Notamacropus eugenii: one gene and its partner. The protein of the gene in region 2 interacts with the protein of the main gene of each other region in a pairwise test. Links are inferred from orthologs where the notes say so. Each region holds a gene or a part of one and is shown on either strand. Other genes may lie near its edges.

Region 1 (6,971 bases), on a different chromosome or scaffold from region 2:
ACTATTTCAAATGACTCGGAAAAAGGATAGATTCTATAGGGAAGTCAGGCAGAATCGTGGAATTACAGAATCCCAAGAGTTGGAAGAGATTGCAGAGATCAGGGGGTCTGAGCTATAAGTAAACAAGAATCTTCTTTACGTACCTAACAAGAGGCCACCCAGCCTTTGCTTGAAGACCTCCAGTGAAGGGCTCACTTCTTCTCAAGGCACCCCATTCCACTTTGGGATAGTGGTAATCATCAGGAAGTTTGCCTTTTCTATGGAACCCAATAGTTTCTTTGCAACGTCCATCCATTGCTCTTAGAGGTGGGCTCAGTGACTAGAGTGTTACTGGTTAGACTGCTAAACTTGGAGTAAAGAAGGTCCGAGTTCTAGTTTGGCCTCTGACATATATTTTGTGACCATGTGACGCTGGGCAAATCCTTTACCCTCTGCCTGCCTCAGTTTCCTCATTGATAAAATAAAGATAATGATGTCACTTCCCAAGTTTGTTGTGATGATAAAATGTAAAGACAGGAAGGTTTGCTTTGCAAACCTTAAAGCACTAACATAAATGCCAATTATTATTATTAATTCTGCCCATTGGGGGCAAGCAGAAGAAAAGGTCTAATTTCATAGGACAGTCCTTAAAATACCAGAAGGTGGTTGTCATGTGCCCCCTAAATCTTTACTATCCTTTTTGCCTTTTTTCTGTAGGCTCTCTAGTTCATCAGCACCTTTTGTAAAACAGAACACAATCCTCCAGATGGCGACTGATCGGGTTAGAGTACAGTGAGACCATCACCCCGCTAGTACTGGACATTATGTCAAAGATCAACAATCACATCTTTTAGATTTTTCATTACCCTCCAATTAAGTTTGTCTGGGCCTGGTAAAACGAATCCATCAAGGACAACAAGGCATTCCCTTATCACCTCTCTGCTTTATCTTGGGCATCAATTCTAGGGGCCATTTTTTTTCCCCTTTCCCATCAGATCTTTGTCTTTCTCAGAGAAAAAAAAAGAAGCAAAATCTGAATTGAATTATTCTTCTTACTCTCTGCTGTCCTGCCCTTCATCCTGTCCATTTGAATAATAATGACCCTTTTTATGGTAATAATGAGTTGATACCCAAGATAAGTAAAGAAAATGTTAAGAAAATACCCAGCTACCTTTGATGGATTTGTCACTAAACCTGGATGTATCCCAGGGTACTCAGAGAAGAGGTCTGTGTGATTGTCTAGCTATTCTGTGATCTTTGAAGGAGTATGAAGCATGAAGCTTGTATGAAACTTGCTGTGGGCCTGGAGATGTGCAAATATTTTTCTGATTTTCAAAAAAGGGAAGAAAATGTGCAGTTTAGAAACTATAGGTCAGTGACCTTGATTTCAATTCCTGGCAGAATTCTAGAACATATATTAAAGGGATGTCTCTTGAACATCTAGAAAAAGGAAGCAATGATCATAACGAGTCAGCCTGACAGCAGTTCATGCCAATCTAACTTTACTTTGCTTTCTTTGTTTTCCCTGAGTAACTAGATTGGTAGAATGGGGAAATGTTGTAGACAAAAGATAGCCAGATTTTAGCAGAATGCTACATGTCTCATGGTATTCTGTGGGACAAAATAGAATATTGACTAGATAATAGTACAGTCGTACAGATCCAGCGCCTGTTGGTCAGACCCAAAAAGCAGTCATTAATGGGTCAATGTCAATTTATTTAAAAGGTCTGTAGTGTCCTCTTGAAGAATTCTGGGCTTAGCCCTCTGCTGTTTAACATTTATCATTTTCACCCAAGACTAAGATAAGGTCAAAGTTGGTACCCTTATCAAATTTGCAAATAACAAAAAGTTGGAAGGAATAGTTAAAGACACTTCATCACAGGATTCAGAAAGAGATTCTGAAAAGAAACTTCCTGAAACGTGCATTAATTCCAGCACTTGTTTATATTAAAGTCCATTTGTTAAAAAAAAAAACCCACCACCTAACATTGGGCCTCATCTCATAAAATGAAATTTAATAGGAATAAAGTTTTACGTGTGGACCTCAGAAATACAATTTGGGAGAAGTCTTGGTTAGGCAGTCTACCAGATAAGTGAGACACTTTCAAAGAGATCTAAGAGTTTTGGTGGAATGAAAGGTAACAAAGTTTTGGTACTGCATCCCATCAAAGCAGCGCAGCGATGAGAACTCGGGAGGCAGGAGCACCTCTCTCACTGGCCTGGGCAGAGCAGGTCTAGAGGGCTGTCTTCGGCTCTGGGTGCCCCATTCTAGTTAGAAGTAGGCACGGCCAAGCTGGACCCAGCCCGAGGACGGAGGCCCAAGGGAAGTCTGAAGATGGGTACACCTTGTGTGGGATGGCTCAGGTCCCTACATAAATCAGTTACTCAGAGGCCTCTCAAAGTGATGACAGAAAAGAGATTTATTCGATTCTCGAGAAGCGGGGCTCACCTGTAGGAGTAGGAAAGCCAAAGACAAAGAAAAGACAGTGATTTATACAGACCCTAACACAAGTCCCTCTCCCCCCACTGACCATTATCCTCATTAGCTGAGAATATGGTCTTACATTCTAGACACGAAATCTAACCAATCCCTTTTGAAATGAAGACATCGAGGAATTATGTAAGTTTTGTCCAGTCATTGAGACCCTAATACACTACACAGTTTTATATCCTTATATGGAACTATTCTATTCTAAAAATATTGTAACCTTGAGCCTTTAGGCCTTACCTCACCCCTGGGAGAAAAATTACAATCTGAGGAGTCTTCACTAAGTCTATCCCACTCAACCTGAAGCTTTCACTGGATCCTGGATTTACAAGGGAATGCCACTTTGAAGGTTATTTATGTAGTCCAAAGCCTTTACTTCGTAGATGCGAGGTTTGTCTCAGTGCTTAATGGCCAAGGCAGGATTCAAAACGAGGTCCGGTCCACTGATTCCAAATCCAGGCCTCTGAATACGTGTTTCATGGAATGTACACGTGGTTTGAAAGGTCTCTGCCCTCCCCCCGCCCCCCAGGCTGTCATTCCCAAACCCTGGGAAGTCGAGGAGATCCGGGGAGGATGACGACATCTGCACAGGCCTGGGGAACTTCTCGTTCCGTGGGAGGAGGGCAGGTAGTAGGAGAGGCGGTTGTAGCGACGCCTCCGGGAGCGCCCTTCTCGGGGCTCGGCCGGAGCTGGGGTGAAGCTTCGCACCTTCTGGCACAGACCTTTGGTCCGCGATCCGTCCCGGCGGCTCTCGTGGGTGCAGCGCGGGAGCGCCTCCTATCCCCGCCCCCCGCCCAGCCTGCCGCCCCACGGGAGCTCCGCAGCCGTTGGTTCACTGGCCTCGCGGAGCCCGAGCTAGGTCCGGCGCCAGCCCGCCCCGCACGGACTGAGCGGAGGGGCACGCCCTGCTCCCCTCCCGGAGCCTCACCCCGGACCCGGGCCGAGCTTCCCTCCAAAGCCCTACCCGCCCAGGGCCTGAATCCCCTTTTTCTTTTAGACACCTCACTATCTTCCGGAGTCCCTTCCCCCGAGGACTGTTAGAAAAGGGCGGGGCTCAAGCGGAGGCCAACCCGGCTCTCCCCGAGCCCGCGGGGCAGCGTTCAGACAAAGACATTCCACGGCCCCCGCCCCAGCTCGCTGCCCGCCCGCCCGCAGGGGTGGAGACACGTGTCCGCGCTACAACCTGGTCACGTGTTATAGGGAGCGAGGGAGGGCTAGCGCGTGCGTACTGGCGTTAAGCAGGCTCCGCTAGCGCTCCTCCGCCGGTTCCTCAGTGGAGGCGGTCGACGTGAGGGGCGGGGACTTAACAAGGTGCGCGCCGGTGGTGACGCGCAGGCGCCGTGGCAGAGTCGGGGACTTTGTTCTCGGCTCTGGGAGCAGGGCGGCACCGGTGGCGGGCCGCGCGTGCGCAGTCGCTCACTTCCGGTGATCTCTTTCACTCTGTGTCTGGGTCGATCTCTCGCTGGGTTGTTCTGGTCTGCTCCGGTCCTCTCCGCGCCAGCTCTCCCGCCTCCGCCAACCGCCGCCGTTGCGCGGGCCTCCGCCGCCGCGCTCCGTTCCTCAGCCGCCCTCCCGCCCGCTCCGCACTCATGCAGCGCCGGGACGACCCCGTCGCGCGGCTGTGCCGGCCCCTGGGCCGCGGCGGCGCCGTGGATCCCTCAGGCGCCCACCCGCCGCCGCGCCAGGCGCCGTCCCGGCAGCCGCTGCCCTCTCACCGGCCCCGGGGCGGCGGCGGAGGCCCTCGGGGTGGCGGCGGCTCTCGGGCCGCGCCGACCACGCAGCCCCCGCCGCTGCTGCCTCCCTCGGCCACCGGCGGGGGCCCCGAGGTGGGCGGGGGCGGCCCGGCGCCTGCCCCGACCCCGCTGCTGCCGCCCTCCGCCACGGCCGCCGCCAAGATGGAGCCCGAGAACAAGTACCTGCCCGAACTCATGGCGGAGAAGGACTCCCTCGACCCGTCTTTCACCCACGCCATGCAGCTGTTGGCTGCAGGTGAGCCGGTGCCCCGTGGCGGCGAGCCTCGGAGGGGGCCCGGGCCCAAGCGGGGGAGGGAGGTGTGGGCTCCCCGCTCTTTCTGCGGCTGTAACGGAAGGGGCCCTGGTGGATTCCGCGGAGAGAACGGTGGCTCCGGTCCTGGAGCGCCCCCCCTCCCCAGGCCCGGGCTACGAACCCCCGAGGGAGGGGTGGCATCGGGGAAATGTCACTGTTAGGTCGCGGGGCTGGAAAGGGAAGCCGAGGCCTCAGTTTCCCCGCCTGTAAAACCGAGGGGAGAGGGCGAGCGAGATGCCCGAGGACTCTTCCGAGCCTCAGCTCCCCCATCAGTTAAATGGGGGGGGGGCGGTGAACAAGGTGCCGGAGGGCCTCCGTTTCCCGGTCACTACTGTGAGAGGTGGGGTGACGACGGTCCCTTCGGAACCCGGGGTCCTGCCCCCCTCCGAGGGTCTCCATCCGCAGCCCGTGCCCGGCGCCTCGAAAGCGCCACCTCCATGCCTTTTGATTGACTGGCCGACGGCCGGAGCCCGGAGTCGGCCTCTGCCGCCCGAGGCTGGCCTGGCGGCGGGGCGGCGGGTGCCCCCAGCAGGAGGGCCCTGCCGGGAGGGACCGAGGCGGGCTGGGGTGGGAGGGGCAGGGGGCGGGGCCGGCCGGGGGCGCCTGCGGCCCCAAGTGGACACGACTCCGCCGACCCTACTGGCCGCCCAGGGCCGTCCTCTGTGGGCCCGGCCGTACCCTGCATTCCCTTCCCCTCCCCCCGCGGGTGTTTAACGGCGTGGGATCCTCCTGTTCTCCACTCGAGACTCTGAACCGCGACAGCCGGGGGAGGGGGGCGAGGCGCTCTTTATCCTTAATGCCGGAGGACTCGGCCTGGAGGGAAGTTGCTCCCCCGCGCCTCGCCCCGAGAGCGTGTTGTCGTGGGTTTTATCCTGGTTGGAGAACTGACTAGAGAAAGGGGGTGCCAGTCTTTGTTCTGTGTCTGCTGAACGCGCTCCGCTCCCACATCGCGCGGTCCAATCACCTGGGAGCTCCGATTCCCCTTATCCCCACAACCCATCTGCTTTGTATTAGCTTCTACTTGTGGGATTCTTTTCAAAAGAGTTTTTTATGATAAATAGATTTACTGGGTACGTTAAAATCTGGAACCTTCAGGGCTGGGAACGTTAGTTTATTTGGCAACCTTAAGCATCAGGAGACTTGGAAAAGAAGTGACTTGGCTGTTCTTTGTTCTCTGTCTTGAAGGGGGGCCCGACTTTAAAAACAAAAATTGAAACCTGTGATTGTCAGCATTCCGATCAGTCAAGTTTACATCTCATTTGATGTAATGGGAAACATTTTTAGATCTAATATTGTGTTTAGTGTTGCCCGTTCTCGGTTGTGTGGTGTAATTCAGTTCTTTTGGAAACCTGCTTGGGAAGGGGGTGTTCCCTTTTTAGATTGAGGTTTACTGTGTTGTGACATTGTAAGTGTCAGATTGGCTTAGCGTGGTGGCACCAAAGTGACATGCATTGCTTTTCATTAAGCACCTTCTCTTTTGATATGTAAATATTTTTCTTAATTATTGGAAGTGATGCTTAAAATCTGTGACCCATTTTCAAAAAACACTGATTTTTCTGAAAGATGGCTCTAATAATTAGTCTTTATATTGCCATTGAGTAGCTCCTCATTTGCGTTTTAACTACGAAGTAGTTTCTGCTAGCACATCTCATCAACTGCTGAATAGTCTGGGAATTTATATTTCCAAAAGTATCTAAAAACAGATCTAGATGAAACACATCAAAAATGACCTATAGTGTACTTTTTTAGTGCATTTGTAGTAATGGCTCTTATGTTTAGAGCTGTAACCATACACAGAACTCCTTATTTTGTAGAGCCAAACAGGGTAAGAAATCGTAAGGTTACCAGATCCTTTAGGCCTATACCAAGTTCCCAATAGGTAAATCTTTGTAACTGGAGTTTTAAATGAAAGGTTTCTTAGAGTAAGCACTTGAATGTATTAATCCTCAAACGATTGAGGTTTTTTCCCTTTGTTGGTTTACCTTTTGTTTCCTTCCAAGAGAAACTTTAGGGAAACTTTTTCATTTGTTAAGCTTTGGTTTTTCCTTTAGTTAATTTTACTGAGCTGGTAAAGTAATTAGAGCCTAGATTCTTAACCTTTTACGTATCATGGACCCTTGGGCAAACTTGGGAAGCCTGTGGACTCTTTAGAATAATGCTTTTAAAAGCATAAAATAAAATACTGAAAATGTACAAAAGAAACTAATCATATTGAAATACAGTTCTCAGGATATTTTAAAGAAACTGTTGCATGCAACCCACCTTAAGAACCCCTGTCGGAGAGATTGGATTAGAGAAATATCATTGTTAGGAAAACCAGATGGAGAGCTATATTCCAGTTCTAAGTTGTAATACTTTTTGTTAAGGTATTTATGAATGAATTGTAAAGATTCATTCAGAATTTCAAATATAAAGTGAACCCCAGGAGGCACTCTTAAAGGTTCTATGATTGGGCAAT
Region 2 (7,945 bases):
GACTGCTAAAGTTGAAAAAGTTTTAGGTGATTAGTAAAGTGAGGTATAAGACAGTATAAGTGAATGATAAATATTCACTTACAAGATTAATTCATTCTTTAGTTTATGTTAACTAATTTATCAAAGCAGCAGTCTTTTATTAAATAATTGGATAAAGGGGAAGCAAATTTAATTTTAGCTTTCTGAAAGAGTGACTTTGGACTGAATTAATAAGTGAACATTATTAAAGCCTAGAGATTAAAAAAAGGAGATGCACTAATTTAGTATTTCTCTGACCTGGCTTAGTCCCAGGAGAGGAAGAAATCATCACCTGATCATTAAATTAATAAATCATTCATAATAAATTGTTTCATTATAATTAGCCTGAATGACACAAAGACATGGTGCCAGATAAAAATTAGCATTTTGAGGATTACATGATATTGAAAAAGTGAGATGATGTTTATTATCAGTAAAATGCTTACTCACTTTTAAGAAAATTTAAAAAAATTTCCACAATAATTGGTGAGAACTTACTATATTTGCAAATTGGGATCAATGTTGTTTTGATCATTTTAAGCCAGGGCAAATGTTATTATTCTCCTCATAACATTGATTATTAGAAAGCAGAAAACACAAGCAGGGTGAAAAACTTACCGGAAGTGAGGCAGTCCCGACCCTCCTCTGTTCTTACCACATCAATTCCCGGCAATGGGAGGAGTGAGAAGATATTTCCAATATTTTATTAACCATTGGTCACAGCTATACAATTATTTTCTCAAAGAACTATTGGAAATTTTATGTATTCTAATAAAAATTTCATATAACCTACTTGCACAAAGTATATTTTAAGACAATTTTTTACCCAGCACTAGGTTTTGACTAACACACAAGTAAAGTCTCTCACTAATGGGAGACTCTAAATGCATCAAAACATTTGACTTTGCTGCTGACATTATTAAACACACATAGCCTATAAGACATTTAATAAACTAGTTTCCCTTCATATGAGAAACTCCAGTTAAATGTATACATGATCTAAGGTACTTCTGTAATGTTCCATCTACTTAGATTTTAATTGAGAGCGACCTGTGACTAAGTTTTTGGCTTTATCGGTTAGTGAATGACTTCCTACTTACCCTTTCAAGCTTTTTCTGGCTTAATGAATATGTCTAGAATGTATAAATATCTTTCATCAGTGTATAAATCAGTTTTTTTCTTGCCTTGGCTAACATATTAAGTTTTTGTTCTTATCTCAGTTTATGATGTAAATAAACTTTTGAACGATCTGCTCCGATGCTGGAGCATTGTTTAATTCATTACACACATTGTGGTAAAGACCTGTGGGAGTAATCCCACATCTGCTTCCAGAGGTAGGTAATTTCTCTCCTGTCATAGACTCTCTATAAACTGAAGTTATCTTAAATTCCATCAAACCTTACCGTGTATGTGATGGTCTCCTCTGTCTCCTGTGACCTTACAAGAGCAAGAGTCAAAGTGGTCAGGAAGAGTATTTTCAACATCCTGAATCTCAAAGGAAACACAAGACAAATGGATTTTTAATATCTGTTGATTGAAAGGACAAGACATGAGATACAATGTAACCTCTAAAGGAAGATAGAGGGCAGGGGAGGCTGTCTACCACACTGTACTAAGAATTCACTTTCTCATCTGACTCTACCCCACCCTTCCTCTTCGCCAAACTAGGCACCAAAAGTAGCAAAAAAAAAAAAAAAAAAAAAAAAAAAAAGCAGCAGAAACCCCTCTTCACCTGGAAGACAGAGCTACATATACAAAGTCCCAAAGTAATAAAGATGGCCATCTCATTGGATATCACACTTAGAAAGAGAATTAACCATCATAGGTTTCAAAGGAGGTAATGTACATTCCTTACTAGTCTTTTGGAGAGAGGAGGTGTGCGTATATGTGTGTGTTTGGGGGGATATTTTTAACACAACTTCAGATTTCTTAAAGATTTTCACTGTCTTTCTAAGAACCAGAGCAAAGCCCTGCAAAGTCCGTGGTGGGGGGCACCCCCACATTTCCTTAGTTCGAGATTTTTGTAGAGATCTCTTAATCATGTTCTTCTCTCACCCTACTAGTTACCCACCCATCTCGGTAGTCCTCTCTTGGCAGCTCTCCCCTCCCCCGCACAAATTTTCCCATTGGATCTTCCACAGAGGTTCTCAGCTAACAGTGTGTATATAGCCTTACAAGTCTCACGCAAAGAAGATAAGTAACCTGGAGTGCCTGGCTCCCTTTTTCATCGTCTTTCCCCCCTACCCCCCATAAGACCCAGGAGTTTGCATAGTCTCCAGGCAGAGGGCACAGAGAAAGACGTTGTAGGGTGGCCAGGGTTGGGGGTTGGGAAGGTTGGGGGCGCGGCTGGCTGTGGTCTGGGCGGGCATGGAGGTGTTTTCCAGCTTCTTTGGAGGAGCCTACCTAACTCCGGGGGACAGAGCCGCAGAATTAAGCGCTCCTACTTTTAATTAACTCAGTTTTTGAAGGACTACAGATTTGGCTTAGAGCACACTCACGCTGAGACCCATACATACCTACAAAGCACACCACACGCAAGCAATCTGAAATATACAAAATCATATTTACATCCACGCAAACGTGCTGATTTACACACACATATATGGAACGAAGAAAACGCACATTGATGCAAATGCAATGCAATTCCAATGTATGGACACTCCTATTCTGTAATATCAGCTACCTCTAAACACACACACTCAGCGTGTACACACCTGATACCTAAAGTCTTAACTGGTGCAGAGATACGCAGACCTGTGCCAGCAGACCTGTGTGCCAGCAGAGTCGCTGCCACATTCCCTCAGTGCAAGTTCCATTTTCTCACCAGGACCCACCTATGAACTTGTGCATACACGGCCGGTTGCTAACTAAATTCTAAAAGCTCTAAGATCGCTCCGGAGGGCTCCTACCTGCAAGGGTGCGCTTTCCCCTCCAGCCCGGGGCCGTAAAGGTGTGTGCGATGCAGAGCGAAGCTAGATGAGTCTGAGCTGGTGAGGTCTGGCAGCAGCAGCAGAGGCAGGAGGAGGAGGAAGAGGAGAGAGGGAGGGAAAGGGGGAGGGAACTGAGGGAGGCGCAGGGCCGGTGCAAGTGAGGCAGCCCCTCCGGGAGACCGCGGCTCTGTTCTCCGCGCGCCCTCCTCCTCCTCCTCCTCCTCCTCCTCCAGACCCGCCCGCCCCGCCTCCCCACACCCTGCTCCTGGCGCCTCAGCTCCTTCCCCCCCAACCCCCCTTTCTAGTCCACCTTCAACTTCTTCCCTCTTTCCCTCCCTCCCTCTGGGCTTTGCCTTTCGGGGAACTATAAAATGTAGGCTGGACTGGGGCACATTTGGCTATGTTTTCTCCTGGTTTGAAATAAGACTTCATTTTTCTCCGGTCCTTCAGTTAAAAACATGTTATACACTGGACACAGAATTTTTTACAGTGATTAGGATTATTCTTAAAATTTTTTTTTTTTAAAGAACAAGTTACTCCTTTCCCTTTCTGGCCTCCCCTTCTCTCTCCCTCTCTCTAGTGAGTACCTGAAAAGGCCTTAGCCTAAAAGGTCAAGGTCTCCCTGGGCCTTCTCCAGTCATCCTGATGAATATCTGATCACTGGACCCAGGTGGCTCAGGAGGAGAAAGTGAGGCTGGTGATCTTCCACAGCCCTCCCTCACTCAGATCAAAGTCAACTGCAAGTCACGTTTTCATCTTGATGTCACCGTCCTCTTCCAAAAGAAGGATGAACACAACAACCCTCTCTCTTGCAGTCTTCCCTTCCCTAATGTAGAATTTCAGGCATTAGCAAGAAGTACCCTTTGGGGAAGGGGAAGTCTTCCCAGGTCTGTCAAATCATAACATCTGTTCTTAAAGTTTTCATGTTAAAGTCAGACTAATAGTTTGTACGCATATCTTCAGATAGCAACCCACTATACTACGCCTTCTCATCCTTTTCCTACTTATTCATGCCCATCTCTCATAAATTTCCACAAGGGTTTACCCTAGGTGCAGAGGGCCTTCCTTTGGTCCTTCGGGGGCTACTGATGGGGTACATTGACTATTCACTATCTTTCACTCTTACCTCAGGACCCATCATACTTCGTTTTCAGACTATACCTCTCTTTGATAACATCACACCACTGCAAAATTAATTGCTGATCAACTGTAGTCTACTTTGGCCCTTCATGAGCCTCTCTTTTGGGTAATTCATAAATTTAATTTTTTGTATGCTGGTATTCTGTGATTTGCAGCAATACACAGTCAGCAAAAGATAGGGATCTTAAAGAGATGGGACTTTCAGGGTCATTAAAAACTCTGCAAAATTTCTTTTTAATAATATTTATTTTTATTTTCAACTTTACAACCTGGGCAATTCTGTATCTGTAGAAATGCATAAAAGAGGATTATGTATGAAACTGCAGATCGCTATTATGTACAGCTTGCTGTATTTTTTAAGTATATAATTCAACCTGTAACTATCAAAGATGCCCTGCTTGTTTTTTTTCTTTAAAAAAGATGACTCATGTCCTACTGATTCTAGGGCCCGGTGCTCTAGATCTCGTATTATCTAACTGCCCTTGCACAGAATTCTTAAAAAGAGCTCGAAGTTGTTTGTCTTTACACTTTTGATGTTGCATAAATTGTTCTCCTGGCTCTGCTCACTTCATTCTGTATCTTTTTCTATAAATACTCCCAAGTTTCTGTGAAACTATCCCCTTTTCATTTCTTATGGCCACAATGATGTTTCATCATATTCATAAGTATTCCAACATATTCATGCTCCATACATATTCAGGTACCATTCTTTGCCACCACAAAAAACAGCGTCATAAGTATTTTTGTACAAACAACCCATTCATTTTACAGCACTAGTAAGTAGTAGCTGGGTGGCACAGTGTGTAGAGTACTGGGCCTGGAGTTAAAAAGACTCATCTTTATGGGTACAAATCCAGCCTCAAACACCTAGTAGTTGTGCGATCCTGGGCAAGTCAATCCCGATTGCCTCCCCCCACTCCCCCTGCAAAAAAAAGAACTGCAATGAGCACCTTCATTCCAGATGACCAGTGATGAAGTGGGTTACCCACCTTCTGACAGAGAGGTGATAGACACCAAATACAGAATGAGACGTATATTTTTGGATATGACCAAGGTAGGAACTTGTTTTGTTTGATTATGCATATTTGGTGCATAATAAGTGACTAATAAATGTTTATTGGTTAAAAAAGATGCTTCAATGTCCCTTTCCTTTCCTTTCCTTTCCTTTCCTTTCCTTTCCTTTCCTTTCCTTTCCTTTCCTTTCCTTTCCTTTCCTTTCCTTTCCTTTCCTTTCCTTTCCTTTCCTTTCCTTTCCTTTCCTTTCCTTTCCTTTCCTTTCCTTCCCTTCCCTTCCCTTCCCTTCCCTTCCCTTCCCTTCCCTTCCCTCCCCTCCCCTCCCCTCCCCTCCCCTCCCCTCCCCTCCCCTCTCCTCTCCTCTCCTCTCCTCTCCTCTCCTCTCCTCTCCTCTCCTCTCCTCTCCTCTCTTCTCTTCTCTCCTTTCCTCTCCTCTCCTCGCCTCTCCTCGCCTCTCCTTGCCTCTCCTCGCCTACTCCTCACCTCTCCTCTTCTTGCCTCTCCTCTCCTTTCCTTTCTTTTTCTCTCCTTTCTTTTTCCTTGTTCTCCTCTCCTTTCTCTCCTCTCTTCTTTTTCTTCCTTCCTTCATCTCTCTTTTTCTTTTCTTCCTTTTCCTTTTTTTCTTATTCTACTTTCCCTCATCCTTCACATTGAAAGAAAAAACGATTCACAGAAATATGCAAAACAAAGTACTACATTGGCTATGTCTTATTCTACTTCTTAAGCTCATTACCTCTTTCTCAAGCGATGAGTAGCTTCATAGTCACTCCTCTGGAATCATCATTGGTCATTGCCTTGGTCAAAGTTCTCAAGCCTTTAATAGTTGTTTTCTTTACAATTTTATTATTATTGTATAAATTGTTTTAGTTCTACTCACTCCACTCTAGATTAGTTCATATTTGTCTTTGCAGGTTTTTCTGAAGCATACATTTCATTATTTCTTAGGGCACAATAATTCTCTATTAGTTTTGTATAACATAATTTGTTATCCCGTCTCTAATAAAGGGGGCTTTAATTTCAAGTCCTTTGCCTGAACATAGAAGACATTTAAAGAATGCTTGCTAGATTGGAATAGATTGGATGGACCAGCTCTAAGGCTTTTCCATCTAATTATATATCATGATCTGGATAATAAACATTCTTTATCCACTTAGTTTTTCCTTTGTAGGTAGTTAGGTTGAACTCTTTTGAGTTAGAGATTAGATCCTTGTGGGCAGGGACTATATTCTGCCTCTTTTTTGCATCACTGGTGCTTAGCAAAGTGCCTGGCACATAGTAAGTACTTGATAAATATTTACCGATCGATTGAGGCATGTATCTGATGTAGGAAATTCTGCAGTATTCCACAGTTTGAAATATCAGCAAAATATCATTTGAAAATAGGTCCTCACCATTTATAGGGGATCCCATTTCCATTTAAATTCCGTATTGGACATTCTGTATGGCAAAGGCAAACATCTCTGGTGAGCATGAGCTTGTGTATTTCTTATATACTATCATTAGTATATAAGCATATATGTTTATATGCATAATATTATTATATTGGATATTGTATTTATATGCAACAATATATTATAGAAGTATATATTCTATAGCTATTGAAATTATTATGGAAATTCTATAGTTATTGAAATTATATTATTGAAATGTTATATTTTATAATTATGTAAATAACTATATATTATTACATAATATATAATAATATAATAACAGTATAACATAATACAGATAATTATATGTCTTAGAACATTAAAATTTTTGTATATTTAAATAGCATTATATGCATTATCTCATACTATATATTATATTATTAGAGAATATAGAACATATAGTTCAATTAATAATATACAATTCTATCATAATTATAAAATTCAATTATGTGTAATGTAATTATGATAAATTTCAATATGGTATATTTATAAATTGATATTATAATACATAGTTATAATTGCATATCCATAAGTATGTTACACACATATATAATATATATTTATATATAGTATCATTAGTATTCCTTGATGCTTGCTAATAATCAGAGTGATATTGCCTAAAGTTCTCTCTGTTTCTTCTTTCAAACAATCTTGTGTGATTTTGACATATATTTGGAAGACACATTGTTGGGATGTATATTCTTTAAGGTGACATTTAGCTGTACTGAATTAAATGCTTTTAAAAGTAGTTAAAAAGCATTAGCCACGGTGGCATCTTATGCACTCTATGCATTTCAGTCATTTATATGACTCTAAAAGCATGGTCTGTTGTGGAATATATTTTGCCTTTGTGTTCTCTTCTTAATCTTTCATGAAGGATGCATTTGGTGTCTAAATAGGTTATTCTCAAAAACATTTTGTAGAGATGGAAAAGTAGGCATTTTGGTAAGTAATTACCAATATTTTCTCAGATGCCTATTTTTGGTAGTAATGCTGTTCCATTCCCTCTAGTTTGTGTTTGTTCTTCAGTCATTTTTCAGTTGTGTCTGACTCTTCTTGACCCCATTTAGTTTTTTTGCTTTTTTTTTTGGCAGAGATAATGGAATGGTTTGCCATTTCCTTCTCCAGCTCATTTTACACATGAGAAAACTAGGCAAATAGGACCAAATGACTTGCCCAGGGTCGCACAGCTAACAAGATTCTGAGGTCAGATTTGAACTCAGGAAGATGAGTCTTCCTGACTCCAGGTCTGGTGCTCTATTCACTTTACCATCTAGCCCTTGCTTGTACATCTGTCTCCTGTTCTTGGAAGGTACATCCTCCACATTGTTATCTCTAACAGACCCTAATTCCCTTCAAGGTCACTTGAAGTGCCACTTTGTACATGAATGTTTTCCGACACCGACATAATTG

What was found. The genes of interacting proteins can lie anywhere in the genome.
Region 1: the proteins of EFEMP1 (region 2) and KHDRBS1 interact in a two-hybrid assay, tested with the Homo sapiens proteins (2 studies listed by BioGRID and IntAct). The link is inferred for Notamacropus eugenii from reciprocal best matches to the Homo sapiens genes EFEMP1 and KHDRBS1.

The regions. Positions count from the first base shown.
Region 1 is NC_092876.1:77,776,408-77,783,378, reverse strand, and holds the start of KHDRBS1 (KH domain-containing, RNA-binding, signal transduction-associated protein 1), read left to right. Parts: upstream 1-3,928; 5' UTR 3,929-4,056; coding exon 4,057-4,456; intron 4,457-6,971. UniProt on the Homo sapiens protein: Recruited and tyrosine phosphorylated by several receptor systems, for example the T-cell, leptin and insulin receptors. Once phosphorylated, functions as an adapter protein in signal transduction cascades by binding to SH2 and SH3 domain-containing proteins.
Region 2 is NC_092872.1:650,313,718-650,321,662, reverse strand, and holds the start of EFEMP1 (EGF-containing fibulin-like extracellular matrix protein 1), read right to left. Parts: upstream 3,063-7,945; 5' UTR 2,928-3,062; intron 1,510-2,927; 5' UTR 1,503-1,509; coding exon 1,422-1,502; intron 664-1,421; coding exon 637-663; intron 1-636. UniProt on the Homo sapiens protein: Binds EGFR, the EGF receptor, inducing EGFR autophosphorylation and the activation of downstream signaling pathways. May play a role in cell adhesion and migration. May function as a negative regulator of chondrocyte differentiation.